Diceros bicornis minor: one gene and its partners. The protein of the gene in region 3 interacts with the protein of the main gene of each other region in a pairwise test. Links are inferred from orthologs where the notes say so. Each region holds a gene or a part of one and is shown on either strand. Other genes may lie near its edges. The genes, in order: IFT20, SMC4, TRAF3IP1 and GOLGA4.

Region 1 (7,351 bases), on a different chromosome or scaffold from region 3:
CCAAAGTGCTTTCCACATCGGTCTATGAGGATCCAGCCTAGGGATTCAGACAGGCCCCAGAGGGTTACTGTTTGCCTCCAGGTACCTCAGAAGCAAGCAAAGGCCACCTGACGAGCCTGGTGGCAGGTGGCAAGGAGCACATGAGCACAGAGCCCATGGCACAGGGTAACAGAAATGGGAACAGAACCTCTAGCTCCTAGGTCCATGGCTGCTCTTCACTCCTCCTCCCTGAAACCAAGAACTGGCACATGCCTTGGAAGACAATGGGCCCTCCAGGCTCTGTGGAGGCCCACAGGGATCTAAGCTCAGGAGTGCTCAGGCCCACCTCACAGCAACACAGAACCCATCACGCCCTGCTTGCCTTCTGCCCACTGCCCAGTTGCTACAGGGATGGTTCTTACGAGAATCTAGTCCTATGTGAATATAAAACAAGTATGGATCTTCTCTGGAAAATGCATAAACACACAACATTCTATGTACAATTTCAAAGAATTCCGAAGCTCTACTAAGCACTCCAGGTGAAGGAGTCGTATACCAGGTGAACTGGAAAAATGAATCTAGATTCTAGAACTGTCGGCATTAAGCCCTGCCCTGAAGTCACTTCCTCAGGAACTCCTCCCTCCCTCCCCACCCCACTCATTAAGCCCCAATGCCTCACCTTCTTTGTCAGTCAGCACCTCCATGCGCCCGCTGAACATGGCCTTGAGCATGGTGTCGTGCCGGGTGAGCGCCCGCACGGTGGTGTAGTACAGGGAACCGCCCACATTGAGCTGGACGTATTTGTTGCCCAGGCCTCCTCCCTTGAAGCCGCTTAGCTTGGGCTTGGCCCCTGAGGCTGGGCATAGACAGGTATCCCCTGACATCTCCCGCTGCAGGTAGATCACCACACGGCAGGAGGTCGGCTTGGAAGGCTCCACCGTGGTGGAAGGGTCACAAGTGAGTGGCCAGTGGGGGCCAGAGCCTCATGCTCTCAGTGCTATGAGCAGGAGATGGGAGAGAAGACAGAAGTCAGGAGAGGAGAGCCCTCAGTCAGGAGGGGACAGGAGGAGAAACACTGACTATCCAGTCATTCTCTCCTTAATAAGCCCTAGATTCCCTGGCAGAGGCTAAGGCCCTAGGCCTTAAGAAAGACATTCCTGGGGCTGGCCCCGTGGCTTGGCGGTTAAGTGCGCGCGCTCCGCTCCTGGCGGCCCAGGTTTGGATCCTGGGCGCGCACAGACGCACTGCTTCTCCGGCCATGCTGAGGCCGTGTCCCACATACAGCAACTAGAAGGATGTGCAACTATGACATACAACTGTCTACTGGGGCTTTGGGGGAAAAAAAAAGGAGGAGGATTGGCAACAGATGTTAGCTCAGAGCTGGTCTTCCTCAGCAAAAAGAGGAGGATTGGCACGGATGTTAGCTCAGGGCTGATCTTCCTCACAAAAAAAAAAAAGAAAGAAAGAAAGAAAGACACTCCTGCTGTTATTTATGGAACCAGGAATCAGGTTTGGGAGCACAGTCTCACAGAGCCGGGAACTGGTCACCTCACCAGCCTCCCTGAGACCCAGCTCAGCTCTGGACGGCAAGGAGGACAAGCAAACCCTTGGAGCTGGTCAGAGATGGCTTGAGGAACAGACTGGGCAGAACAGAAGTCCCCACCCTGGGGATCCACCAGTCAGATTCCAGTTATTTTCTTCTCAAGGTTCCCAGGATCCAAGACTTCCAGCCAAACATACTGGGAATCCAGCCAGCCTGGGAGTTTCCCAGGAGCCCGAGTGACAGGATGCGCTTCCTTTCTAAAGATTCCAGGCTCAGGAGCAGCCTGCACCAGTTCTTACTTGGAGCACCACCCGGAGTCTGGCTTCAGGAAGGCAAGTAAAAGCAGCTTCAGGAGAGCATGGAAGGAGCCAGGTTGGAGGGAGTCGGCCAGTGTTCCTGGCAGGGGCTACTCTGGCTCCAGCCGGGGTTTCCTGACCTTCCTCTTTCTTGGCATCAGCCCTGTCCTAAGTTCCTGAAATTGTCACCATTTTCCAGGACAGAGCAACTACAGGATGGCTATTTTTGCTTCTTTTTCCTGAGAGGCGGCCCAGCCCTATCTCTTCCTCTCTTCCCTCCCAACAAGAATGGGGAGAAAGGGCTAGAAAAAAACAGATGATAAATCTAAAAACAGTTAAGTGATCTGGAAAGTGAAACACTGATAGGAGTTCAGAGGAGGGAGGGCAAGGAAAGCAGAGGAGAGCAAAGCCAGGTCACCCCTCATGATTTAGATGCTATATGTTTTGGTTTTCTAAAGAATCACTGAAATTCAGTCACTGAAAAAAAAATAATAGCAAACATTCTTCGCATGTTTACTATGTTCCAGGCACTATTCTAGGCATTTAATATATATTAGCTCATTTAATTCATTCAGCAATAAAACAATATTGAGTGCCTACTATGTTAAGCAGTAGCAATAGACAGATGAAAAGATACCGTCTTCGCCTTCAAGGAGTTCAAAGAAGCATCATAATGTAAACAAGAATAAAAATACTAAGAGTTAGCATTGATTGTGCCACTGCTCCATGCAAGGCACTGGGGATACAGAAAAGAACAAACAAGTTATGGCCTCATGGAGCTTACATTCTAGTGGGAGGATACAGACAACAAGAAAATGAATAAATAAGCAGGCAATTCCAGAAGGTGAGGAATGTAATAAAGATAATAAAACAGAGATAAGAGAGTGACTGGTGAGAAGCACTAATTCAGACAGGGGGTCAGGGAAAGCCTCTTTAGGAAGCTGACATTCCAGCTGAGGTCTGAAAGAGCATTCCAGATAGATGGAAGAGTAAGGGCAAAGTTCCTCAGTTAGACACAAGGTTTAGCAACAGAAACAAGGCCAAGATGGCTGGTGCATAGAAAGAAGGGGGATGTTGGCTTGATTTCAAGTCAAGGAAGGCAGGGGCCAGATCATATTAGAGAGTGGATTTTATACTAATTGCAATGGGAATCGATTGGAGGGTTTTAAGCAGGGGAGTGATATGACCTGAGTTATTTACATTTTGAAAAAAATCACTCTGGCTGCTGCGTAGAGAATGAATTGTAAGGGTGCAAGAGAGCAAGTGGGCTTGTCCAGGAGACTCTCATTTGCCTTCAAGACGGAGTATGGATGAGCTGAGCCCTCACCAGCAGACTGCCCAATCAGTAAGTAATGGTGAGTGGTATGAGATCACCTTACCTTCCTCCGCCCACCCCAAGGGAATAAATCCATTCTTCAACAGGTTTTAGCAAGTTACCTACGTATTCTGTGTCTAGCCCCAATTTCCCCAGGATCAAAGAAAGTACACATACATATTCTACCAAAGCAAAGGAGCTCAAAGGCTAGGCGGTTGCCAACGGAGGTAGACAAATCCAGAGCTAATCTATTCCTTTCTTACAAAGCAATTGCTTTGAGCCCATGGATGACGTCAGCTCAGATTCCGCCCAGGCCAATGGGCTCCAGGAATCCTGTGGCAGGTGACGCCCCAGAAAGTAATTCCAGTGAGAATGAAGTTTCCATTGATAGCCTCAGCGCTCTTCCTTCCGGACTTTGTGTGTGGATATTTGGGGATGCCAGGGGCTAGGGGCGTATCCGCGTCTCACTCAGCGAAGCTAAAGGGAACCCAAGCAGAATAAAGGGCAGACAACCACAGCTGTGGAAGAAGGTGGGGTCCTAAAGAAAGAAGGACCCAGAAATCCGTCACACACGGAGGATGGCGGAGGCGGGGGAGTGGGGCCGATCTGGTCTAGAGAGGGCGGATCTAGCAGAAATGCTAGGTGTAAATTTTCGGCTTCATCCCAAGGGTCTGGGGAGATTTAGCGAGACCCAACCCACGGGAAATTTGCCCAGTGTCGAGTCTTCCCCAGCCCGTACCCCACCTCACTACCGAGAAACCGGGATCGGTTCTGACACCCACTCCCAGGGGAGGATTTGAGCTCTCCATCTCCCCTACGCCGTCCCACGCCTTTTCCCCAGCACCGGGTGGGGGTCTCTTTGCTCCAGTCCGCGGCCAGTCCATCCCTTCCCCTAGGGCATCGGCAGACCCGACTCTCACCGTCCCCGGGGGTGCCTCTCCTCTCAGCTGGATTGCAAGCCGACACCGTGCCGCCCCCAGACTGTGGCCGCCTGCCCGCCAGCAATCCCAGCGTGTGAGCTCACATCCTCCGCCCGCGAACTCCACCCCGAGCCGCTGCCCAGCCCCGCCGATCTGGGAGCATGGCACGCTGAGGCCGGGGATGCCTAACACCCAATCAGGGAGGAGGGAGGAGCCCCTGAGAGTATTCCGCTGAGAGCGCACAGCTACTTCCGGCGGCCTTTCCGGCGCAAAGGCCTCTGGATCTTGTAGGCAGCCGTCCTTCCTCTTAGACCTCCGTTTTCCCGCAGGCTCTGCGGGTTGGGCTGCGGTAAGTGCTTCCGGTGTTAGGTAGTGACGTCATGGGTAAACAGGTCCTGTAGCCGTGGCAGCGGCTGAGGCGGGCGGGTAAGGTACCGGCTGCCGCTGACCGGAGAGAGAAGCTGCCCGCCGACGTCAGCCTGGGGCGCGGCGCGCCGCGGTACCCGGTGGGCAGGTAGGCCGTGACTCCGGGTCCGGGGACGCGGGCGGACCCGGGGCGAGGTGAACCTGACGGGCCCGCGCCCTGAGGAAAGGCAGTCCCAGGCCGAAGGAAACGTGGGAATTCCGCTCGCTCTCTGGGAGCGGTTTCTCGCCTAGCTTGGGCCTGGAGCTTGACGCGTTGAGGCTCGGAACGATCTTATGAGGACACTGCGGCCCAGATAAGTTCAAGGAGTTTACGTAGTAAAGCCGGTTCCATCACCCAGGCTTTCCTAACTTTCCCCTAGTGCCCTCTCCCCACACCGCATGGATGGAGCAGGCTCGTATGGCCTAGCGTGGATCGGGGAGAGCCCGGGGGCGGAGAGGGCGACACCGCCCTCGTCTTCGGGGAGCCCAGTCCTGCCTTGTGCCCAGTGTTCCTCAGATGCTCAGACACGCGCGTGTGGTGGGAGTTGGGAGTGAATCCGATAGTCGGCTGCGAGCCCTCTCCCTGCGCTCCTTCTCCGGTCTTACCCATCTCATTCAACTCTCCTCTCCAGCCGTACAGTTGGCTCAAGCCAGATGCGTGGGAATCTTGCCTGACTCTCCTTTACTCATCTCCAAACCGCTACGTTCAATCAATCCTTTACTAAGTCCTATCAACTCGACTTACAAAACATCTCACCTCAGAACACTTTTCTTCAGCTCCAATCTTTGGTTACTGTAATGGGCTCCTTTGTTTTCACAGTCAGCCATTCCACAAACATTTACTGAGTGCCACATCTAGCAGGCACCATGCTAGATGCCAGGGTTACAGTGATGAGGAAGGTAGGTGTAGCCCTACCTTGTTCCCTCCAATCCATTCTCCATTCTGGGTCAGAGTGAGCTCTCTAAAAGGCAGATCTTGTTATAAGATCTGTTGAGAATCCACTGGCTGCCCATTACCCTTATGAGAAAGTCCAAGCTCATTACTGCAGCTTTCAGAGCCTTCCGTGATCCAGCTATAGCCTCCCCATCTAGCCTCATCCTATTCCACACTCCCCTTTGCTCACTGGGTTTCAGTCACACTAGCCTTTCAGTTCGTGGAATGCATTAAATTTCTTATAGCTTCAGGATCTTCACACTTGCTTTTCCTTCTGCCAGGAATGCCTCCTCCCCCCTTCCGTTGACAAACTTTTGGCCATCCTTTAGGTCTCAGCTGAAGTGTCACTTTTTCAGAAGGGTTTTGTTGACACCCCCCCCATATGAATTCTGTCCTCATGCTACAGCTTCACATAGTGTTACCCCCCAAGTGGAGGTCTTCTGCTCGCCGCAAGACATGCCAATAGTCAAGAGGCAAGGAGGTAGGAGAGAAAGGACTATTTATTACAGCTTGCTAGCAAGGGGAAGATGGCTGACTAATGCCCAAAAGAACCATCTTCAGGGGGCACAAAATCTTACAGCAGTTATATAGGCCCGTGGGGTATAGGGGAGGGGGTTAGGAATGTCGACCTTCTGGTGTTACAGACTGGGAGTCGCCACACCAGATCTTTCAGTTTCATTGATGATGGCTCTCAGCATAGACTCTCTGTTTGGGCGTCATCACATTCCTAAGGAACTCAAAAGCACAAAGTTATCCTCTTATTGCAGCGGGGAGGTACATACACAAGCAGGGGTTGTAAAATCTACAGAGCCGTTAGATCTCCTGGAGGGTGCATATCCAGCTGGGTTAGTTAGTCAGAGGTCATTCAAAGTTACAGTAGGGTTTCTTTTCTACAGTATGGCTTCCCTTATGTCAACCTTGTGTTGAGCTGGTATCAAAAGCACCATGTGCTTTTCCTCATACTATTATCACAGTTTGTGATTATTTGTTTGCTGTCTGTCCAGAAGTCAGGAACTAAAGCAATAAGGCATTTTCTTCACTACTCTTATCACCAGAGCAGGGACTCGGTAGATATTTCTGAATAAATGCATACTCGCAGGGGAGCGAGTGGAAGTTGAAGGTTAATTGAAGCTTTCTAGAGCAGCAGGTCTGATTAATCACCTGGTAGGTGTTAAATGCTTAGATTATATGTGTAAATATAACAGATCAAGCAGGAAGACAGATCTTTTTAAAAAGCCTGATTATAAGAAAGCTCTGGATGATTAAAATGTTTCAAAAGGAAGATGCTAGCCTGCTTACTTCAGTGGATTCCAGTGAGGCCAAAGGCCCTGGGCCACAGTCATGCACAGACAGCCTATAGACATGCATTAGTTGGCCCACACAGTGTTGGATGTGTTTTTTTCCTTCCTTTAAAAATCAGATTTCATATATCAATCTGGATTTCTGATCCTCTTGAAAATCAGTTCTGGCAACAGTGGGACTTAATTCTTTTTTAACCATTGGTCCTATGGTACACCTGCTCTGGGCAGTCACTTCCAGAATCACCCCTATCAGAACTGAACTCTTCTAAGGAAGCTGGAAGGGAAACAGGTGAGGCTGGGAGAGGTGGGAGAAAGGGAAGGGCTAGCTCAAGGCCAGGTGGTGGGAGCCTTTGGAATTTTTTTTTTTTTTTAAGCCAGAATGAGGGTGAGTTGTCAGTGTTTCCTTCCCAGAGTTGAGGCATCCTTTGGAGCAGGAATGCAAGGTGGCCTGGGAAGGGAGAGGATATCTCTGCTGGTTCTCCTGCCTACAGAAGAAGCCCCTAAACTCCTTAGCTTGGCACACAGGGTCTTTCTGCTCTGGCCCCAACCAACCTTTCCAGCTCCATCCTTTGTCCTGTCGTCTTCTAGGCAGGATAGGCCCTTTCAGTGACTTCAGGCTCTTGTTCATGCTGTTTTCTCGGCTTGGAATGCCTTTCTC
Region 2 (7,834 bases), on a different chromosome or scaffold from region 3:
AGTAAACGAATGCCTATTTAGTTCTTAGGATACTAAAACTGCTCAATGTTTTATTTCAAAAAGGTAAGCACTACTATGAGCTACTTGTAATTCATTTCCCTGGCTAAAAATTTTAATATTTTAAGTTTAATGGCAGCCACCACCACTCCTCAAAAAGAAAATATGGTCATGGGGGTAATGAAATCAATATCTGTTCTGCTTTAACCATATACTAATATTTGAAGGCCAATTTAAGCCAAAAATAATAAAATGTGCAATGTATTGAAATCTTTTGTGTTCCTTATTTGAAGTTACAAATAGCTAAATAGTCCAAGTCCCCTACCTTATCAATTATCTTTTGAAAATGAACTTCTACAGTACAACTCTGAATGTCCTTGTGTTCATCAGAATTGTGTATTAGTACCGAGAGTTTTTTAGATCTTATTTTTTGTGCTCGATAGCCAAACACAAAAAGCATAGAATCAATAACATTGGATTTGCCACTGCCATTTGGTCCAATAATACAGGAAAAGCGCTGCATAAAAAGAACAGAAAAAAAAAATAAAGTTAAAAAAGTCATACTAATTCTACTGATTTTAATCTGCTTGATTTTTTTACCTGCAGCAAACTACAACTATTCAAAGTTTTTACTGCTAGAAGATAACACAACTTAAGTTGTCACATCATGTTCTCCTCCATCACAAGCTTCAACACATTAAATAAGACTATATTCTAATTCTCACTCAGAGTTTTTACAAAATTCATTCTAATAGAGAAAACACACCCTTCAAACAAAAAACTCACCAATTCTATTTAGCGAGGAAAACTTTACAGCATAAAGAGGTACCAAAGATAACCAGATAAACAAAAGCTAAATCCAGTGGTTAAAAGGATAGGAAACATGCCCTGTGTGTATTGATCAGGATAATTACAATAGTTACACAATTGAAACATCTTATAATAAAGACACATTACCTTATAACAGTTATTTCAAATGGTCAAATACCTTATGAAAAGGGCCCAGAATTTTTTCCCCAGCATAGGATTTGAAGTTCTGGTTTACAATATGAGTTATCATAAGCCGAGGAGCTCCAGCTTCATTGGTCATTGCTGGAGGTGGGGGAGGAGGGATGCTATTTAGAATCTCTTCTAAACTTCTATTATCAATTTCCTCACTTGGAGTCTCTAAATCAGGCAGAGAAAACGGAAGGCAAAGGAAAAAAAAATCTGCATTAGTGCAATTAGTTCGGAGGACTAATGCCTGCTAATCTCTGGAGACATATTCTTTATGAACCTTTATTTTCCACTTAAATATAATACTCTCCTAAACTCACCGGGGATAAGAATCTTTCAGCTTGGTTTTATTTAAAAAAAAAAAAAAAAATTGTTGAAAGAAATGCCACCAGTCACAAAATTCTATAGAAATACACCTCTTAGGAATCAAAACACTACATCATCAAGCAAATCTGGGGAAACCACAACAACCTAATTCCCTGCTCCCGCCTAAACAGGTGGTTAAATGCAGCTCTCTCCGTCTCTTTGAGACGGAGCCTAACTTAGGGTTAGCCTGGAACCCTAACTTCGGACACTCACGAGCTCCAGCGATACTGTCACAGGAGTTGCATAATGTCATCCAACTCCCGGACTCACAAAAGCGATGCGGTTCCGAGTCAATTCTCATCTTCTGTTTAAACGCAACTGAAGACCCCGGAGGTGAGGTGAGTAAGTGTCAAGCAACTTTTCATCGTATTAGCATACAGGCAGGTTGCTTCTGTCGGACACTGGCTGCCCGCGCCGCTTGCCGCGGAAACACAAGGCCACAAACGCACACTTGAAGCCACTGCTCGCCCCCATCCCCTCCAGCACCGCTACAGAGACAGTGCGCGAAGTCCAATCTCTGAAAATCGCCAACTCGCTTTCTTGAGCTGCTCTGGGGGCCCGACACGCGACCTCCAACGCCACCCCGCAGCCCTCCACCCGCTCCCCGCGCGGCTCGCTCCCCCGCGGGCGGCCGGCACTCACCTGCGGCCTCGGCGGCCGGGCTGGCGGCGCGGCCGGGGCCGTCCGGGGACCGCGGCGGCCCTTCCTCTCGGCGCCGGGCGGTAGAGGGCTGGCTGCCTCTGCGGGGCATGGTGGCTGGGCTGGGGGAGGGCGGGAGCCGGTCAGCCGGGCCCGGCCCGACGGGAAAACCCCGTCCTCCGGGCCCTGAGGGCCGTTCTCCAAGCCCGCTCCGGCCAGCCGGCCTCGGGAAGGCAGGCACAAGACCCCAGGTGCCCGGCGGCGGGGGGGATCGCTTAGATCCCAGTGCTAAGGGAGCGGGGGAACCCAGACGTGCCCGGGCCTTCGGTCCTTCTGCTTTCTGTAATGCCCCCCATTCGCCCACGGTACAGGAGTCACAGAATGTTCTCGTGTCCTCCTAACCGAGGTCACGCGCCCGGAGATGCCATTCCCGCCTCGGGCCGGGAGACTCCTCCAATGGCCGCCCGCCGCGGTCGCCCGCTCCCCGCTTCCCAACTGGGCGCGGGTAGCCGGGCTCGGCTCAGTCACCCGGGCGGCGGCGTCGGTCCCTCGGGGCGCGGCACAAGCCGCTGGGTCATCGACTACGAAGGGTCAGCAGGACGGGCTCGGACCCGCGGTCGGGGTGGGGCGACGCCCCTGCCCGGGAGAGCCCGTGTTCCCTGGAAGAGCTCCGCGCGGCCGACGGACCCCCGACGGCGGCGGGAGCGCGGGGGAGGGGTGACAGCCGGAGAGCCCCCGCCGCAGCCCGGACGCGCCGCCCGGCGCCGGCCTCTGCCCGGGGCCCGCCGACGGACGAGAAGGGAGAGTGGGAGAGCCTGGGCAGGAAGGAAGGCCTTTACCTGCGGACAGTCCACTCAGACCGGGGCTGGGACCGGCTGCGCAGCCCCCGGTCTCCTACCGGTGTTTCGGCTCCGGGTCCTTCACTCGAAAATGGCGCCTAAAATACAAACTCGAACGGAAATTCGTTACAAATGCGCGCAGTGCTTTCTGGGAACCACTAATTTGAAAAAAATGCGGCGATTATCACCGCCATCTTCTGGTCGCTCACGCGCAGCCGCGAACTCTTGGCGGGACCCACGCGGCAGGGGATGTTTCTACTAAGAGAAAAGGAAGAGCGAAACAGTGTTTTCCCGATGGCCTACGGCAACACCACTTTTATAACAAATTAAAAAAAGAAAAACAATCTGGCGAGTTCTGAAACACACGAAAAAAAAGAGTGGGGTTCCGCCCACAGCTAGAGGCGGGGCTCAGTCGTCCAATAACGTCCCTGAAGGAGAGGGCGGGCTCGCTGAGGGCGGGGCCTCGGGCCCGCTCGGGTGGCGCGCGGCGGTGAAGTATCGCGGGAAGACGCAGTGAGCGTAGATCTTAGAAGTCACTATGGTGACAGGGAGGTTGCGAGGCTGCTTGGTAACCGGTCCTAGCTCTGCGATAACAAGTGCCACCGCTTTCCTGGACCTTAAGGTAAATCTCTTCCCTTCCAGACGTCGTGCGGAAAGGGTTTGGAAGTTGTGGCCATCACTGGATCCCACCATCCTGCTTAGACGGTGTGTGCGGCGCAGAGCGTCAGTTGTTTTCCGTCTCCCTGGGGGCAGTGGGGCTCTGGACGGAACTTTTGGGATGCCAAGGAGGAAGCCATGAGTGTGGAGGGAGTGGTGGGACAGCAAGGAGGAGAGAGGACCTGAATTGCTGAACGATCGTGTAGTCCACATGTGAAAAGCAAAATAACGATTTTGATTTACTGAGGTTAGGTCATTAGCGTCACTGGTGAAACGGGGTTTTGGGCCTTTAAAATCATTTGACTGAAAAACTCCGTAATGGAAGAAACGATTTGCCAGTGTCATCTGGTTCTCTTTATGAGAAAATTATCGATCGGCAAATATTTCTTAAGTAGCTTTTGTGTATATTACACTGTGCAAGGCATAATCAGGATTATTAAGCAAGTATTCCTGTTCCAGAGATGTTAGTTTTGTTAGTGGGTTTTTAATCTGGAATCTGTGGATCTGGTGGTAGGTGATTGGGCGTCAAAGGAGTTCATAACCCCCCCGGAAACTATATACAAAATTCTGTGTGTTTGTGCATTTTTCTGGGGAGTTAGTTTTCCCAGAACTTTGATCAGATTCTCAAACGTGGTCCTAATGCCCCACAATGTTAACTGGTTGATTTGACTACCTTGAGTAAGTATTTATTCAGCGACTCTTACGTACTTGACAGTGAGAACTGGGACCGTCTTTTTTTCCTTTAACTTTTGTGTACTTAGGGCCTGGCATACTAAAGCACCAATAAATCTGCTTTATGAATGAATTTACGTTGTGATTCTAAGTAAGTATTATGACTTTTGCCCTGAGGAGCGTCAGGCCTGGTCCAGGGATTCTCAAGAAGGGGTGTGAAGGACACTCCTTGCAGGTGTATTAGATGAGGTTGGGAAACTGTGGTTTGAATAGATATTATAATATACCTTTACATTTGAAGTTGAAAAAAGAATTATTATTTTCATAAGACAAACTACAGACAATAAAGCTCAATGAGAGAAATTCTTTGGCATACCAAGAAAATGTAGCAATTCTCTTTGAGAGCTTCTGGAATCTGTTGGATTTTCGAAGTTTGTAAAACACTGCAAAACCTGAGTTGGAGAGATATCAACCATGAAAAAAGCAGGTCTAGACCATGTTGAGTGGTGTATATGGGAGATAGAGCACAATGTAGTAGAAAGATGTAACGGAGAAAAGAATCCCAAATCCTATCATTTTTTAGCTACGTTCTTGAACAACTTAATTTATCAACTCTCTGACAGTATTTACTATAAAACCAGCATATAATACCCACCTCATAGGATTGGTTATGATTGTTCATCTAGCACACATGCTATATGCATTTGATATTGCTGTGTTCATGACATTGACCTTCTTAGGGTATGTGCTAAGGATGAATAATGGGATGTCAAGTTAGAAAAAGGTTAACTAATGAAGGGTCTTGAAAGCCAGGTCAAGGGTGTTAGATATGATATGGAGGAAACACCTATTAGAAAAAATTTGAGCTAAGGAATGACTTGGTAAAAAACAAAAATTAACAGTAGTTATGTGGATTGTGTTAAAGGGGAAAGAGACTGAGATCAGGCATGACTTAGTTAGATTATTACTGTACAGTCCTCCATGTGGACGGTGAGAAGTGCCTACAAATAGAATGGAAAAAATCCAGACACATTTAAGGGGAAAAAAATCTATAGCTTTTGCAGATTTTAATGGTTAAGGGTCTAAACCCTGGGCCAGCTCCATGGTATAGTGGTTAAGTTTGGCAGACTGCACTTCAGTGGCCAGGTTCGTGGGTTCAGACCCCGAGCATGGACGTACACCATTTGTCAGCCATGCTGTGGCAGGACCCATGTACAAAACAGAGGAAGATTGGCAAAGATGTGAGCTCAGGCTAATCTTCCTCAAGGAAAAAAAAAAAAAAACAAGATTCGCAACAGATGTTAGCTCAGGGTGGATCTTCCTCAGCAAAAGAGGAAAAAAATAACTGATAAAGGTTTAGGACATTTCCAGTACACTATGATCTCAATAAATGTTCTTTAAAAAAAAAGAGTCTAAACCCTTAAAGTTAGTCAGATACCGTTCTTTGTTTATAAATCCCTGAATTAGTGATGAGGGGATAGGAAGAAGGATAAGTCACAGATAAATCCTAGTTTACTGCCTTTGATGATTACTGTAAATAATGGTAGATCTTAACGACTGATGAAAAAGAAATATAATTTCAATAGATCAATAAAGTGATCGATGGCTTTAGATTTAGTTGAACCTAACCATGTTCCACTCAGAGCAAATATTTTCAAACAGGCTTAAACTGAGGGCCGGCCTGGTGGTGTAGCGGTTAGGTGCGCGCGTTCTACTTCCGCGGTCCAGGATTCACAGGTTCGGATCCCTGGTGCCCACTGACGCACCACTTGTCAAGCCATGCTGTGGCGGTGTCCCATATAAAGTAGAGGAAGATGGGCACAGATGTTAGCCCAGAGCCATTCTTCCTCAGCAAAAAGAGGAAGATTGGCATCGGATGTTAGCTCAGGGCTGATCTTCCTCACACACACACACAAAAACAGGCTTAAACCAGGTTGTATAATGTAGAAAAGGCATTCATAACAAACAGCTACAGAGTAGACTTAAGTCTAGAGTGAAAGTAGGACGCTGAATAAATGAAGAAGTGATTTGAGAAGAGATCAGGGTCACAAGAAGTACTCGATTGAGGCCTGCTAATGCTTTGGATAAGTCTCATGAAATTAACAGAGTTTAATTATAAAAAGAAGCTGGTCCAATTGGAATGGACTAGGTTACAGTCATTTTGGAAAGTATAACCAAGTTTCATCTTTCTGGTCCAAAATCATCTACTAACAACCGTTATCTATACTGAGTCTGAGAGGAGAACTTTCACATTTTACATTTTAAAAGTAAAATTGTATCCCACAGGAAGAAATAAGAATAAGTTCAAAGAGAAGAATTGGAATTAGAGTTAAAATCCACATTTATAATTCTTTAAGTGCGTGGTTAAGTTTTGTTATTATAGCAATAACATGTGTTTTGTCTGTCTTCTAATGTGGTTATAACATTTCATTGTCTTAAATTAGATTTGTGGGTAAATGTTTAAAAATATTAATCAAGTTTGTAATTGTAAATATTTGGATTAATTAGATATTAACTAATAATTCAAAATGAACAAATAAACATGAATTTATGTAACTAATGTATAAATACTTAGAGAATATTATTCAAGATTAATAAATAGGATATAGACACAGGACAGATAGTAATGAATATTCCTCTTGATAATATAAGCCCCCTAGTACATTAATCTTGCTGAAACTCTCATCCGTCTTAATACAGAAACAGTAGGAAGTGAAGAAGTGGAACAGTTTGGGGAGAAAGACCGTTTTGAAAGATGAGTTTGTTTTTATTCATGTAGGTTGGGATTAGGAAAGATATATCCAGTGGGCGGTAGAGGTGGAGAATAGGATAAGAGAGAATAGGCTCAGTAGAGAAAACAGGATGAGATAGTGTTATAAGAATAGTTGGAATGCTAAAAATAGATTAGGTTTTTAAGGTTGTGAGTAAAGAGAGGATCACCCAGAAAATGTCCATTCTTAGAATCTAGGAAGAAGAAATAATTATAGCAATGTTTCAGGTAGGACTCTCTAGATTATAAGTGACAGAAAACCGAATCCAAATTGTCTTGAGAAAAACATATTGGCTCTCATAACGAAAAAGGCAGATGAGTATAACTGGATTCAGTGTCCAAACAAAGACACCAGGATTCGGATTCTTTCTTTGCTTTCCTTTGCGTTCCTTTGTCGTGGCATTGTTCTCGGGCTCCATGTAGTGGCCTCTGGCACCTCCAGGCTCTCCCTTTGCTGTGGTAAGATATAGTAACTCCAGCCTCAAATCTTCTAAAATTAAGGACTGAGGGTAAGGAGAGTTTTTCTTCCCCATGATTTATTTGAATAAAAGTCCTGGGCCATCTGTGAAACAGTCTTAGTACAAAGGGAATGGAATGCTCTAATTGGCTTAAATCTGGGTCTCATGCTGGCTCCATTCAAGCCACATGGGCTAAGAGTGAGAAAGTGGGTGTTCCAAGGAGAAATTCTTTGTAGCTAGGAAAAGAGTGAATATGTGAAGAGTGACAAAGACATCAATTTTCACTACAAAGATCTAATGATTGTTAGGTTCTTACTATGTTCTAGGCACTCTACTGGATATTTTACGTCCTTGATCTCATTTAATCTTCATAACCAACCTGTGAAGTAGGTATTATTAGCCCCATTTTATATAAGGAAGAAAACAAAGTACCGTATCTG
Region 3 (7,661 bases):
GCCAGAGTCAGGCAGGGGCCTGGCCTGGATGGCCTTCCAAGCCATTCAGGAATGCGGACTTAGTCTTGGGAACAAGAGGAGGCCGTGAGAGGTTCAAAAGCAGGGAATGGCATCTTACAAGGGTCACCCAGGCTTGGTGGAGAGAATGGATCTTGGAAAAAAAAGGAACTTCTCAGCCTGGGTTTCTGACAGTGGACGGAAAGGTCTTCCTCACCACTGTGCTGCTCACTTCCTAGGACACAGGGGTGCTCTCTGCCGTATCACTTTTGTTCTCTCCCCTAGTCAACCTGTACCTCCCAAATACCCCTAAAACGAGCTCTTGGGTGGTGATTTTCTCTGTTCCTCCCCACCCCTACACACAGCCAGGGCCCTGGGTTCCCTCAGACACAGTTTTTCAAAATGTGGTAGATCACTGTAAAATCAACATAATGGGTAGCAATAAGCATTTTAAAAAAATGAAACAGAAAAGAAAATATTAGAATGTATTGTATGTGGTAAGGATGAATATGTCTATGGGTGAATATGTCCTGGGTGGATACAGAGCATATTTATTACTGCATGTTCAAAAAAAAAGAAGACAGTCCCTCTGCTAATATCAGGCTCCTTCTCTGACACCAAGCTACAGCTAGCTATTAATTAAGTCAGCTTTCATTCCTCATCAAACTACTTAAGAGCTGTGCCATTATTTTTCCTGATAAGACAGGTGGAATATTACGAGTATCCTGCACTTAACATTCTTGGAACTTTTTCATTTTGTCTCTTTTGAGGTTTTCCCAGTTTGCTTGCAATTAAAATTGTGAGCAATAATTTTAAGTGATGAGACATTAATGTCACAAGATCAACACTTGGATTTATAAAAGAGGCAGAATTAGTTTAACTGTAGCTAAAATACTAATATGGTGACTTGACTATAATGCTCAGGGGCAGTAAAGAATTTTCATAGAGGTTCTTCCCCTATTATCTAAAAATCCTTTCCAATATTTCAATCATCCTAATATCTTTATCAAGTGGGTGACAATTAACATATTTATCTTTACACCGGTAGAGAAATTCATTTCGGCATTAGATTAGGAAAAATCTGTGAAAGAAAAGCAGGTGAGTGGCTCCTGATAGGGAACGCTTCACTCCTTCCACACAGCCTGGCTACCTGGCCAATCACACCAATTCCTGCTTGCATGTTCCTCCTCCTCCTCCATTAAGATGCCCTCCGACCTTCCAGGAGGTGGGGACAGCAGCCACCGTGAGCCCAGCCCCACACCAAGACCCACAGGATGAGGCACGTCCCCCCGCCTCCTCCCTGGCTCTGTTTCAGCGGGGAGACAGGACTAACACAGAAAAGTGTGAGGCTGTGGCAGCAATTGCCGCAGTCAGCCAGGCTGACTGACTTGTTCCCTCCTGGGCTGGAGGACGCTACTTCACAGGGTGGAGGCGATGCAGCACACAGCCCTGTCCCTTCCCCAGACACTGTCCAGGACAGGTGTAAGTGCTGCACTAGCTGCACAAGGAGGCAGCGGCCAGTCAAGACGACCCTTGGGATGTGGATGGGATTCCAGAGAATTTTAAGCACAATTAGGGTTTTCAGCACAGAGGCACACATTATAAGCTAAATTAAGATGGCAGAAACAAGCAAAGAAAAGTTTGTGGAAGAGTAAGATGCCCAACCTGTTGAGAAGAGTGAGAAATAAAGTTTGAGGACCAACACAGGGTGAGATAGCAGCCCCCCGAAGCCTGCAAGTTCAACGTGATTCCTAATTCCCAAAGAGCATGCCTGAGTTCCCAGGTTCAACACGGCCCCCCCAGGTGCACCATGGAAATGGGCGATGCCACCCTGGGTTACCAGGAGCCTTGACAGAGTCCATTCAACAATGAATGTTTGTTGTGCACCTTCTGTGTACCGTACCCAGTGCAGCTCACCCAGGATATGCCAACAAAGAAGTTACAGTCTCCATCATTCAGAAATTCACCATCCAGTGGGGAAAAGTTACAGACAACCAAACACCACTCAGGGCAGGCTGTGCCATTTACCAGCAAACACTAACCTGCTCTTTTATAGTTTTTCCTTTCGGGACCCCCTACAACCACCTTCAGTAAATTCACCCACAGGTATTTATTAAGTATCCAACATGTGGTGACCACTGTGCTCTGCAGTGCAGTGGGAAACTTGACCGGGGAAGGGGGGGGGGCGGTATAAAGAAGAATAATTTCATTCTCCCAGGATTTCTGAGCACCTTCCACGTGCTAGGCACTGCAGGAAAAAAAAATCACAGAAACAACTCTGCCAGGGAAAATGGAAAATGTGCTCTAACAGATACACGGGTAGGCTGGAAAGAATTAATGCTCCCTGAGGAGCTGGGAGTCTCCCCGGAAGAGGCAGCCCTGGGGGATGGGTGAGAACAGGAGAGCAGGGATGAGCGCGAGGAACTCCGCGCAGAGGTACTGCGGAATTGGGCCCAGTGGTCGCCCCTCCCGGCTGCAGGCCAGGCCAAAGGCCGGGCTCCTCGGGCAGGCGCCGCGCACAGCGACGCGAGGCCGGACCCCGACCCCCAACCCCGACTTGGACCGGGGCCCTGACCCCCAGCCCGCCACCCGGGCGAACCCCTGACCCCCGCCGTGGGCCCCGATCCCCAGCCCGCACCCCGACCCTGACCCCGGACTCGCACCCCGGCCCCGACCCCCGCCGTGGGTGCTGAGCCCCGACCCGCACACCGGCCCTGACTCGCACTCCGGCCGCGACCCCGACCCGCATCCCGGCCCCGACCCCCACCGTGGGTCCTGAGCCCTGGCCCGCACCCAGGCCCCGGTCAGGCGCCCACCTCCGTGATGATGTCGTGCAGGTAGCGGAACGGGGGCTTGCACAGCAGCTTCTCCGTCAGCGGCGGCCTCCGGATCACCTTCCCCAGCGCCTCCTGCGTCCGCTTCACCACCGCCGCGTTCATGGCGGCGGCGCCCGCGCCCTGCCGGCCCGCCGAGCCTAAGCCCCACTGCCCGGCCGCCTGCAGCACCGCCGCCGCCGCCCGCTCCAGCCTCGACGAGCCGCTGGGGTTTCCATCCCACAGTGCACCGGAGTCCGCCAAGGCGCGTGCGCGGGGCCGCGGCGCTCGGTCGCCAGGGCGGCGCGGCCCTAGAAACGGACGCTCCCGGCGCCCCGCCCACCACCCGCCGGCTGCGCGCGCACGCTGGGTCGGGTCTGCGGGAGGACGGCCTCAGCCTCCCGGTGCGGGGACAGCGCCCGCCTTCTCTCTGGGCCCTCACGACAGCCTCAGGAATCGCCCCGAGGTACAGGTGACCGCGCTTCCAGACTTCCAAGATTTGTGTTGCTCCTTTCACAGGTTTCAAGGGGACTGAACTAAGTTGTCTCAAAAGACACGGGTTAGAAAATGCCCTATCCTGTCTGTTACTTACTATGGCTTCTTGGGCAAGTAACTCTTGGTCTCTGAGATTTCGTTTCTGTTCCTATGAAGGTAGGATAATAATGTGCCAGCCTGCCTCCCTAACTGCCAAATGACGTGCCAGCGCTTTGTAACCGGGACGAAGCCACGCCCTGCTGTTCTACCAGGTGTGTGTGGTTCCGTCCCACCGTCTTCCATCCGCCATGCCCAGGCTCTCTGCAGGTCCTTCTAGCAATCTGGAAGCTTTGTGGCCTGTCTTTAGTTCTTCTGATGGATATCTTCATAACTTTACATTCATTTTTGCTATTTTCAGTGCTCTTCATTCTTTGTGTACATCCAGATTTCCACCTGGGATCATGCTTCTCCTGTCTGAAGAACTTCCTTTACCATTTCTTTTAGCACAGGTCAGCTGGCAATGGATGCTGTCACTCTTTGTCTGAAAGTCTTTATTGCACCTTCACATTTGAAAGATAGTTTCACTGACTATAGAATTCTGGGTTGACATTTTTGTTTCTTTCAGTACTTTAAAGGTTTTACTCCATTGGCTGCTGGAATATATAGTTTCTGAAGAGAAGTCCCCTGTGGTTCTTATCTTTGTTCTGTCTGTTGTGTCTCTGACTGCCTTCAAGATTTTCTTTTTATCATTGGTTTTCATAAATTTGTCCATGATGTATGTGGGGTTTTTTTGGGGTTTTTTGCTCAAATTTGTATGTAGGGGCCAGCCCAGTGGCATAGTAGCTAAGTTCGGCACCCTCCACTTCGGCGGCCTGGGTTCGCGGGTTCAGATCCCTGTCAAGGACCTACACCACTCATCAAGCCGTGCTGTGGCCGTGACCCATATACAAAATAGAGGAAATATTGGCACAGATGTTAGCTCAGGGCCAAGCTTCCTCAAGAAAAGAGAGGAAGATTGGCAACAGATGTTAGCTCAAGGTCAATCTCCCTCACCAAAAAAAAAAAAAAAAATTGTATTTGATTATTATTTACATACAATAAAATTCACCCATTTTAGGTGTGAAAGTTGATGCAGTTTGATAATTATATACAATTATGTTGCCACCACCATGATCAAGATATAGAGCAGTTCCTGCACACCCTAAAATATTTCCTCCTGTTCATCTACAATCCATCTCCTCCTCCCCTGCCCCCAGCCCTAGGCAAATCTGGTTTCTGTCATTATAATTTTACCTTTTCTAGAGTTTCATGTAAATAGAATCATACAGTACATACATTTTTTGTTTAATTCTTTGTCTTATAATATTTTTGAGATTCATCTGTGTTGCTACATCTATTGATATGTCATTCCTTTTTGTGGCTGAGTAGTATTCCATAATACAATTTGTTTATCCATTTACCAGTTGATGGACATTTCGTTTGCTTTCACTTTTTGATTATTTACGAATAACACTACTAAGACCATTCACATCTAAGTCTTTGTGTGAACATAAGTGTTCATTTCTCTCGGGTAAATATCTAGGACTGGAATTACTGGGTTGTATGGTAAGAATATGTTTAACTTTACAAGATATTACCATACTGTTTTCAAAGTGGCTACACCATTTTTCATTCCCACCAGCAACATATGGGATTTCCAGTTTCTCCATATCCCTGCCAACATTTGATATGTCAGTCTTTTTAACTTCAGTCATTCTAGTGGGTGTATAATGGTATTTTATTATGGTTTTAATTTGCATTTCTCTAGTGATTAGTGATTTTGAGCATCTTTTTGTATACTTGTTGGATATTCATATGTACTTGGTGAAGATAGCCCATAAAGTATCATTCTGGCATTTATGGAATGACTGCTATGTGCTGAGTACTGTCTAGGTGCTGCAGATTTCATGCGGAACCATGTACCTTCTAGTAAGCAACATTCACACCGTCCACTGCTGTCCACTGCTCCTGGGAACATCACTCTCATTGTTGCTAACTTTATGCGGGATGATGTAAGCGTCGGTCACCTAGACAGAGGCCAGGTGAACCGCCAAGGCTCACCTCCCTCCAGCAGTGTCAACCTCGCTTCTTTCCACGATTTACCACGCAGGTGGGCTGGCTGTAGGCAACTTTACTGAGAGGTTGAGAGAAGCCTAAGAGAGTGACAACCCACGAGGGAAGGAATTTGACAACACTCACTGTATACAACTATGCCGTGATCAATGGGGAAAAAAGCCCCCAGCAAATTGCACCCTTCGAGGGAGTCCCCCCCGGGTAGCCTTCAGTTGTTAACCCTGCTCCCCGGCTTCCAGATCTACCTCCTTGGCCAGAGCACCTCCATCCTCTGACCCCTGCCTTGTCAAATCTCCCTGACTTTCTGGAAACCCCACCCTCTACCCATGGAAGCTTTTGTGTCTTCCCATCCACTCCCTTTCTCTCAGCACTACATTTCCCAGAGTCTGGGTTCTCCAGTCCAGTCTCACACCCCAAGGCCTTGGCAGGACAGTCCACTGTGGCATTCAGCACCTGGGTCCCTTAGAACAATCCAGGGTGATGGACACTGTGAATTGGTCTCCTTCCTGGGCTCCCAGGTTCCTGTTATTCTCCTGATTGTCCACACACTTATCTTTATCACATGTGTATCTGGCTTCCCAAGAACAAATATTAATTCAAACAGTTCATCAAACCCCATAAAGAAGATTAAAATAGTTTCCCAGCTGCCTTATCATTTCTGAACATCCTCACCCACACAAACTAATACTTCACATTCACATGGAGAACGGTGTCAGCTCCCTTCCTTCTCCTTCCCCACCCACCACCCCATCCCCACTTCAGGCCCCCAAGGGGCTTTTAAAAGGGGAGACATAGTGAGACTGCATACTTCTTCATGGCTGGGCCCTTAGTTCACAAAGGCTGGCCCGAAGATCTGAAATGATGAAGCCCTGAGACAAAGATACACGAGCTCCCTGCCCTCCAGGTGTTAAGGAAAGAGAGGGTAGGATGTCATTCTCACAGGATGGCCAGGTAGAGCCCCTGGGGGCTGCACCAGATGCAGAAGATGCTGTGGTGTCTGAGAGCTGGAGTGTCCCACCAAGACATCTTCCCTGACCTGCTCCCCATGGCCAAGCTGAGACCCCAGAAGCTCCTGTGAGGAGCAGCCACCTCTGAGCTCTGAAAATGACTGTGGTCAGCCTGAGCGGGGATGGAGGGGAGACTCAGGCCTCTGACTCCAAGTGCCCTGCCTTCTTGACAGACACTCCCCAGCTCCCTCCCCGGAAAGTTCATGCCAGGCAGAATCCTTCTCTGGGCCCAGGGCTGTAGGGGCAACCTGCTTTTCTGTGAGCGGTCAACCAGAGACCAGAGCGGTAGGGAAGGTAGGTGTGGCAGTGGAGAGCCCTCTGGCCACTGAGGTTCCACTGAGGACCTCATCCAGTGCCACACGAGGGGGAAGCCTAATTCTGATTTCTCTCACAGACTGTGGAGAGCAGAGGGGTCATCTAGGCCGAGGAGACCCTTTGGAAGCCTGAGGGCACAGGTCTTGCTATTCTCCTGAGGACCACAGGGCCATGAGAGAGGGTCTGAGAGGATCTGGAACAAGGGAGCGTAGCTGCCCTACCCCACTGAGGGCCTGTCTGGGGGAAGGTGGCCGTGGAGTGGACACTTGTCCCTGGAGGTCACAGCCTCTGGGGAGTGTTCTCCTGGCCATCCACTGTGTCCTCCTGAGGCCACAACACTGCCCCTAGGCAAGTCCATCCCTCCACACAAAAGAGCAGGAGGGCGGTCTGGGCCCTGGGAAAGCAGGGCAGAGAAGATGCAGCTGAGGAGTCCCGACTCCAAGAAAGAAACCTGGAATCAGGACACGGGGGTGGGGAGTGCAGAGGCCAGCCCGGAGCCTCCAGTTCTGGGCACAAGCTGGATGGGGGGCCCTGTAGCCTGAATAACCCTTGAGTGCCTCAGAGTCATGAAAGGATGAGAGGAAAAGGCACAGAACATAAAAAAAGTCATTCATGAAAAAAAGAAAATTGATTAAATAACTATAGAAAATTGCAGCAAAGAAAGAGTTTGAAACACAAAAGGCTGGCAGGAGATGCTTTTGAAATAAGCAGGTTCTGAATAAATGAATGAATGAGATACCCATGGTCTTGACACCCCAGGAGAGAGAGCGCCGCAAAGCCAGATGTCTCCAGGCCCTGTCTCCCCTGCCTGAGAGGCAAACATTCCCCAAGACAAAGGCCTGGAGGGCCAGCCTAGCCCAACCCTGAGCTCCACATCTGCGAAGAGCCCAGGATGTGGGTCAGCCTGCGGGAAGGGTTGGGGAGGCAGGTACCAGGTGGGAGG
Region 4 (7,545 bases), on a different chromosome or scaffold from region 3:
CAGATGTTAGCCCAGGGCAAATCTTCCTCAGCAAAAAAGAGGAGGATTGGCAACAGATGTTAGCTGAGGGCTAATCTTCCTCACACACACACACACAGAAAAACAACCTACAAATATATTTATATACAGATGATTAAATTTACATATCTCTATATTTTCATAACTACAGAAACCAAATGGAAATAATACAAACTAAATTATTAAAAGGGGTTATTTAGGGAGATAAGATTATACTTCTGTTTTTGTTACAGAAAGTAGATATTACTTTTGAAATAAAAAAGGATAAAAATACAGTGTGATACATAAATTAACAGCATGTAAGACTGAGGTTGGATAGAGGAGAGCATGATGAACTCCACTGATGTGTGTGTGTGTGGGGGATTTGGAGGCAGTGTTAGAGAATGCTCGAATGGGGTGATGACATGTGAGCAACATTATCAAGGGTGGATAAGTGGAAAAGGAAAAAAGGTACAAACTCATGAGGGACAATGAGTATACTGCGCTCATTAAGATTTTCACAACTACTATGTATAACTTGTAGACTAAAAAAAGAATAGCAAGGACGTATACAAAAGCAGTGTGCAAGGGAACCACAAGTTAATTTGACATTTCTGGAGCTTTGAAGTGTGAAGGGTGGAAAGGGTATAGTAAGAGGGAAAGCAGGAGCCAGGCTGCCGAGGGCTTCTTGTACTGCCTGGGAATTTAAACAGTGTTCTGCAGGACAAGGAGGCCACTGATGGGATTTCAGCAGGAGGGTAACATCAGCTATGTAGAAGATGGATTAGAAAGAAGCAAATCTGGAAACTGGGAGATCATTTAAGTGGTGAGGTATACTGAAGACTAAAACGAGTGGCAGAGAGAATAGGAAAGAGGATGGATTTGAGAAGTATTTCAGAGTAAAAGACACAAGACTTGGTGATTCTCTGGATATAGGTGAAGAATGAGAGAGGGATGTTTTAACTCACTTTCAAACTTTTAGCTTGGGCAGATGGAAATGACATCAGCCAAGCGAGAAAATACAGATGGTAAAACAAGCCTGTCAAGAGGAGAAGATGCAAGAAGTGAGAGGAAACACAGAAGAGGCCAATCTGATGGTGATGGTAGGGGGTGTAGTAGTGGATGATTTCAGTTTTGGACATGTTGAATTTGTGTGCTTATAGGCCATTAAGAGGAGTTGTCCAGTAGGCAGTTGGATGTATCAAGACTAGGTAATTCTGCAGAAATTTAGTGTCAGGCCCTGTACCACGCACTGGCTGACTTTTATGACAGGTATGGCTCTTGCCCTCCCAAACCTGAAAGCCTAGTGGAGATGCTATAATCAGGAGCTCAGGGGGAGGCCTAAGCTAGAGCTCTCAACATATAGATGGAGAGTGTTACAAGTAAAAAGAGAATGAAACTCTTAGAATTTATAAATATCATTTACTATGAGCTATACTTTATGTACATCATCTCATTTAAGCTTCACAACATTCCCATGAAACGTTAAAATGTTACAGATGAGGAAAATGAAGGGCAGAGAGTTGAGACTCAGAGGTCACAATCTGGCCTTTGAGCTGAATTTTATTCTAAGAGCTGTTTTGCTGCAGTCATTTAAAAATGTCTCGATGGGTTTGCACTATCTAGTTTGTTACTTTCCCTCATTGTCCATTGTCTTATATCATATGTGTTTCACTCATAACCTTTCTACTCCTTTCAGGGATTTGACTTTATATGTGGTTTATCTAAGTGTCAAAGGTCACAGTGCCAAAAAAATGGCTGACTTATATTTGAACCAAAATCTGCGTGACATCAAAGACCATGCTCTTAACGGCTATGCTCTACTCCTGTGGGTGGCAGGTATCAGGATTCTTGATGAGGGTTAAGAAAGCGTGTTGTGTGGTGATGCAAAAGGGCTGATAAGGCATTTGTAGAAAGCAGGAAATCAGAGTTAAAAGTTTCAGCTGTAATTGGTTCTTTTGGCTATGTCTTTTCTGACATACTATTTTCTTAGCTAAGGCTTGGAAAGGAACTTAATAATATGTAATAGTTTTCTTTTTTTTTTGTGAAGAAGATCAGCCCTGAGCTAACATCCATGCTCTTTCATCTCTAATCATCCATCCTCCTCTTTTTGCTGAGGAAGACCGGCTCTGAGCTAACATCTATCACCAATCCTCCTCCTTTTTTTTTTTCCCCCAAAGCCCCAGTAGATAGTCGTATGTCATAGTTGCACATCCTTCTAGTTGCTGTATGTGGGACGCGGCCTCAGCATGGCTGGAGAAGCAGTGCGTCAGTGCGCACCCGGGATCCGAACGCGGGCCGCCGGTAGCGGAGCGCATGCACTTAACCGCTAAGCCACGGGGCCGGCCCGATATACAATAGTTTTGTGAAGCACAGTCCCTAGTGATTATGTTATTCTGAAAATTTCCTGAAATATGGAGATGGGGATGGTATCTGCCATTGGAAGGAGTGAAAGAATGATAATTAGGTTTGGTCTATAATTATGAAGATTGCTTCTTTTTGTTAAAAAAGATAGGTACCAGTTCCACTGGGGAAATAAATTCATGAGGCCTCTGGTATTATGATTGGATGCAACCCATTTCATGCAAGGTGTGCTAGTCCTTGGGCAGCTGGTTAGATGAGTCCAAGTTACTAACATGGAAAACAAGGGCAGGCAGGGTGCTCTGGCTGGGTTGGTGCAGGACTCTGAGAAGTAGGCCAAGGCCAGAGCCTTCAGAAGGTAATTTGCATCAAGGAGTGGCAGAAGAATTGAGCATATTTTATAGGTTTAATTAGAACAGACAATGAGAGAATGTTAATTTGCAGAGGCCTAAAGCCAAATGGGCTGTGAGGAGGCTTAATGTTTCAACAAAATTGTGGTTAAATGTGATGGTTTCAACCCTGCCCCTCCTCTTCTCTTTTTTGTGTCCTAGCAAGGACATAATTAGCCCTCTTCTGGTCTTTTTCTTTCTCTAAGTAATATTTTGGATCTCTTTTTATCATTTGTTTATTACTTATTATGGCCTGCTTTGATAGGGCCCACCTACATGTATACACATATACACAAATATATACATATATACACACACACACATATACATATGTATAACATTGGCAACCTTTGATTTATAATTGTGAACGTTGGGGTGAGGATGCATATCAGGCATCGGCAGTCTGGGAGCAGCCGAAGGTCTATTGCCTTTACAATCTTGAGAGAGAAAGACCCCTGGAAAAAACAAACTCTTGGTTATTACATAGGTGTTCACTATGAGACTAGAGAGGACTTAGCCCAGTTGTCAATGCAGTGTTCAGACCAGGCCCTGCTCTGGCTCTAACACATTTAGGGATCAGGCTATGGAATCTTAGAGAGCAACTTGCTCCTATAATTGCTAGTAAATAAAATTTGCTAAAATGTGAAGATCAGCGTATACTCTCTCAGGTTCTGATATCTGAGGCGATGTGGAGCAATTTGGTACAGCATGCAGAAGTAGGTTGCTGAGCTGGATCTGAGGGTTCACAGACCGCCAAAGTTCGGGGTGTTTGATGAGTCAGGCACATCTCTTAGGACGACTGCAGGTGTTAGGGGTAAATCTGAACTCTTCAGGAACCTGTGTCTTTCATCAGGCTGTGAATTCTTTTAACATCCCCAAAGACCTGGCACTCACAATGATAAAAATTTTTGAATGAATATGTGAAAATATACGATTTCGGTGAAATAAAAAATAAAGGCAGATGTCCAAACGATTGAGATCTTACAACATCGGCCTGAAACATCTGGACCCTGGCGCCTCCCGTCAGGTACTTATTGACCCCTGGAAGAGTCCAGGAGAGGAAAGAGGGCCCCTCTGGGGAGCAGCAGGAGTAGTAGGCACTGAAGATACAGAATCCTCACCACAAATACTGAACAGAAGGACACTATCCTTCAGAGCCCCAGGCAGGTTCCCTGGAACACCCTTCTCCCACCCAGGACGCTCACATACTTGGTTCTTCGCTATGGGCCTGTCAGCCCCGCCGTCCTCAACAGCACCACCCTCCCCGCCTGACTTCGCAGCGCTGAAGCCCAAGTGTGCGTCAGTGAAGCGCTCAAACCACTCCTCGCCTGGATTCTGGGGGTTTCTCTGCACGCAACGACTTTAGGCAGCACAGGATTCTGCGTCTTCCTTCACGTCTCGCGTTCGGGAGCGATACCCCGAGCGCGCATGTGCTGGCCGACTTCGTGTGCTTGTCCCCTCCGGCGCTCCGTAGAGCTCCCTCGGCGAGCTCCACGTAGGCCGCGCAGGCGCTTTTGGCACATCGTTCACCTGCTGCCGTTGTCGTTGTCGCCGCCGCCGCTGCCGCCGGGGCTGGATGGGGGGCCGAGGCCAACCAGTGGCACCCAGAAGAAAGAGACGCGGCGGCGGCGACGCCGACACCCGCAGGACGAGTGTCCCGATCCTCCCGCGAGCCCAAGGAGGAGGAGGCGAGGCCTGGCCCCCGCGGTCCCTGGCGTAGAGAAGCCGCCGTCGCCTCCGTGGCGGGGTCTCCCTGGGCACTCGCCCCTCAGGTCTCATTCACACTCAGGACCCCGCGGTGCGCCATGTTCAAGAAACTGAAGCAGAAGATCAGCGAGGAGCAGCAGCAGTTCCAGCAGGCGCTGGCCTCCACTCAGGTACTATGGCCGCCGCTCTCCCCTAATTCCGGACACTCCTTGACGCCGGCTCGGGGGCGAAGAGCAGGGGAGGTTCTTCCGTGACCCTTGACCTCTAACATTGTAATTCGCCCAAACCCAGGACTGGGAATGAGCTCAGGGCAGCCTAGGTCCTCCGTGACTCCTGACTGGGGTCCCCCATCCCGAAACTCCGTTCGGGAGAGTGGGTGGGGGCGGCCGGATCCTTGGTAGCATCTGACCTCTGTTCGAGTTTTCCACTGATGCTCCACCCCGGCCTGAGAACCAGTGAGAGGGACTCCGATCTTGGCGTGATTTTTGACCCATATCAAAGGTTCCCCCGCCCATCCGAAACCCCAACTCAAGACTGAGTGTGGGATGGGAAAACCTGGGTCCCTTGTCATATCTGACCTCTTCACTGAAGTCCTCCCTCTCATCCCTGACCCGAAATTGAGTACGGAGGAGACAGGATCCCGCAGGACTCCTGTCCCGTGGCGAAAGTCTAAGTCCAAACCCTCGTCCAGGGGTGAGGGCCAGGGGTCGAGCCATTCCAGGCCAGGCTGCTTGCAGGAGCGTTGGAACCTGAAAGAGGCGACAGTGTGGCCGGCGTCCAGCGCCTGAGGCTGTCACGAGTTAGTCCCTTCGCATAACTTGGTTGATCTGGGCAGGCGGAGGGGCTGATACTCCGAGACCGGGCCCGGCTGCTGCCTGTCCACAGCCTGACTTCTGCTTCTTCAAGAGTCTTGTAACGTTTGTTTTTCACGAATAGAACTGCTTGAGGAAATGACAGTTTCCAGGAAAAAGGGAGCGTGTGAGTAGTGTTAATTTAAAGAAACAGTCTCCTAAGCGCCAATGAATGTGTGTTTTGGGTCTGGCAGCGCGTGGTCTCTTCAGCGAAGAGAATTTCTTCCCAGCCTTTCTGAGTCTCAACAGATTGAGCAAATCTCTTAACTTTAGAGTTTCTACAAGAAAGACTGAGTTTTAACTGGTTTGGAGGCATTTCTAAAACATTTTTTAACATAATATTTGTCTTATGCAACTTTTAAACAGCTGTTAACCAACTGATTAACAACTATTAAACAACTACTGCATTGAGTTTTTTCTGGAACTGTATATTGAAGTTCTGTTAAGCTCGTGTAGAGTAAAACAGTGCTTGAAATACATCAGAGCATTACGCTGAAGGCTTGTTCATTCTCCCATGTAAAATGTAAATAACGATGAAAATTTAAATAGTAAATATTTTATTTTTTGTACCATTTACTTCAGGCTTTTTAAACTTTACAAAATACGATTATTTAAGAAACATAGAAAAAGCTTAAAACTGAGGTACGGATGAGGCATGTGGGGAATGAGCATGTTAGTGAGTGTAAGGCTTGCTTACATTTGGGAATGTGTAAAATATCGTTGATCCAGGATTCCACCTCTAGAAATTTATTCTAGGAAAATTTAGGATGTATTAAAGATTTAGCCACATGGATTTTCATTTCAGTGTTGTTTTAATAGGTAAAAACTGGCTAAAAATGTTCAACAATAGAAAATTGATTAAATAAGTTACATCAAGTAGTCAGTTATTAGGCAGCCTTAAAAAATGCCAACACTTATTGGGTTTTTACTATGTGCCAGGCATTTTGCTTAATATTTTACATGGATTATTTTATTTAATTCGGACATAAACCCATGAGGTAGTTTCTCATTTATGGAGTGAAGCTCAAAGAAGTTGAGTGACTTGCCTAATGTCACACAGCTAGTGTTAGAGCCTACAGAAAAGTTTTATTAATACGCAAAGATATTTGTGTTAAAAGACAGATTGAAAAGCAGCATGTGAAGTGTGATCCCAGTTTTGTGGGAAAAAATACGTATGTAAGTATATATACAGACAGTGAAAATAGTTTAAGAAGGAGATGCTCTAAGGTACTGATGAGATCTTATGAGTATTCTTTTTCATATTTGTGATGTTTAAATTTTTCTTCATGAAAATGAATTTGTACGTTAGCAAAGAGAGATTGTTTTTAGAATAATAATAAAAAAGCTATAGTTACAAGCTAACATATGAGAGCTTTCAGTTTCTATAGGTTGATGCTTCTGGTCAGACAGTGCAACTGGGTCAAATAACTTTGTGTACAAAAGATTTAAAACAATCTTCTTTGATAATATTTATATTTATCCGGAATGCAAAAGTAAATTGTTAGTGATGAACTACTGATAGAAACTTGATTCTCTTGTGGTCTCAGATCCTCAGCTATTCAGAACCCTTCAGGATGAGTTCTGGATTATTGTTTTCAGAGTTAAGGATTTCTTTCAAACATGAATTAAAAAACAAAATAGAAAAACCTTTTTTTTTTTTTTTTGGTGAGGAAGATCGGCCCTCAGCTAATGTCTGCTACTCCTCCTCTTTTTGCCGAGGAAGACTGGCCCTGGGCTAACATCCATGTCCATCTTCCTCTACTTTATATGGGATGCGCCACAGCATGGCTTGCCAAGCAGTGCGTCGGTGCGCACCTGGGGTCCGAACCTGCGAACCCCGGCCTGCTGCAGCAGAGCCTGCGCATTTAACCACTTGCGCCACCAGGCCTGCCCCAGAAAAACCTTTTTTGATGACAATTCTTTTGCAACAGATTACACGTATCTTTGTTTTCTTAAGCAAAAGATCTTGAATTTGTATATTATCATTTCTTCATTTTTGTATAAATTGTCTCGAAGGCACCATGCCCTCAAGAATTTAATGGGGTGTAAAAGCCAGTTCCCTTTTACCCACTCAAGCGAATTTGTTTGTTTGTTTGTTCTTGGACTACTTATAATTATTTTTTTATTTTTATTTTTAATTTTTTTGCTGAGGAAGATTTGCCTTGAGCTAACATCTGTTGGCAGTCCTCTTTTTCGCTTGAGGGAGATTAGCCCTGGGTTAACATTGGTGCCAGTCTTCC

The links.
Region 1: the proteins of TRAF3IP1 (region 3) and IFT20 interact in a two-hybrid assay, tested with the Homo sapiens proteins (2 studies listed by IntAct). The link is inferred for Diceros bicornis minor from reciprocal best matches to the Homo sapiens genes TRAF3IP1 and IFT20.
Region 2: the proteins of TRAF3IP1 (region 3) and SMC4 interact in a two-hybrid assay, tested with the Homo sapiens proteins (2 studies listed by BioGRID and IntAct). The link is inferred for Diceros bicornis minor from reciprocal best matches to the Homo sapiens genes TRAF3IP1 and SMC4.
Region 4: the proteins of TRAF3IP1 (region 3) and GOLGA4 interact in a two-hybrid assay, tested with the Homo sapiens proteins (2 studies listed by BioGRID and IntAct). The link is inferred for Diceros bicornis minor from reciprocal best matches to the Homo sapiens genes TRAF3IP1 and GOLGA4.

Annotation. Positions count from the first base shown.
Region 1 is NC_080757.1:19,128,175-19,135,525, forward strand, and holds the start of IFT20 (intraflagellar transport protein 20 homolog), read left to right. Parts: upstream 1-4,340; 5' UTR 4,341-4,402; intron 4,403-4,444; exon of another isoform or gene 4,445-4,567; intron 4,568-7,351. Other genes in the region: TNFAIP1 (BTB/POZ domain-containing adapter for CUL3-mediated RhoA degradation protein 2), read right to left, coding at 1-37, 659-863. UniProt on the Homo sapiens protein: Part of intraflagellar transport (IFT) particles involved in ciliary process assembly. May play a role in the trafficking of ciliary membrane proteins from the Golgi complex to the cilium.
Region 2 is NC_080754.1:66,299,805-66,307,638, reverse strand, and holds the start of SMC4 (structural maintenance of chromosomes protein 4), read right to left. Parts: upstream 3,011-7,834; 5' UTR 2,838-3,010; intron 2,121-2,837; 5' UTR 2,111-2,120; coding exon 2,002-2,110; intron 1,165-2,001; coding exon 986-1,164; intron 515-985; coding exon 323-514; intron 1-322. Other genes in the region: IFT80 (intraflagellar transport protein 80 homolog), read left to right, coding at 3,376-3,459. UniProt on the Homo sapiens protein: Central component of the condensin complex, a complex required for conversion of interphase chromatin into mitotic-like condense chromosomes.
Region 3 is NC_080776.1:25,701,015-25,708,675, reverse strand, and holds the start of TRAF3IP1 (TRAF3-interacting protein 1), read right to left. Parts: upstream 3,016-7,661; 5' UTR 2,937-3,015; coding exon 2,814-2,936; intron 1-2,813.
Region 4 is NC_080741.1:40,222,301-40,229,845, forward strand, and holds the start of GOLGA4 (golgin subfamily A member 4), read left to right. Parts: upstream 1-4,535; 5' UTR 4,536-4,552; coding exon 4,553-4,624; intron 4,625-7,545. UniProt on the Homo sapiens protein: Involved in vesicular trafficking at the Golgi apparatus level. May play a role in delivery of transport vesicles containing GPI-linked proteins from the trans-Golgi network through its interaction with MACF1. Involved in endosome-to-Golgi trafficking.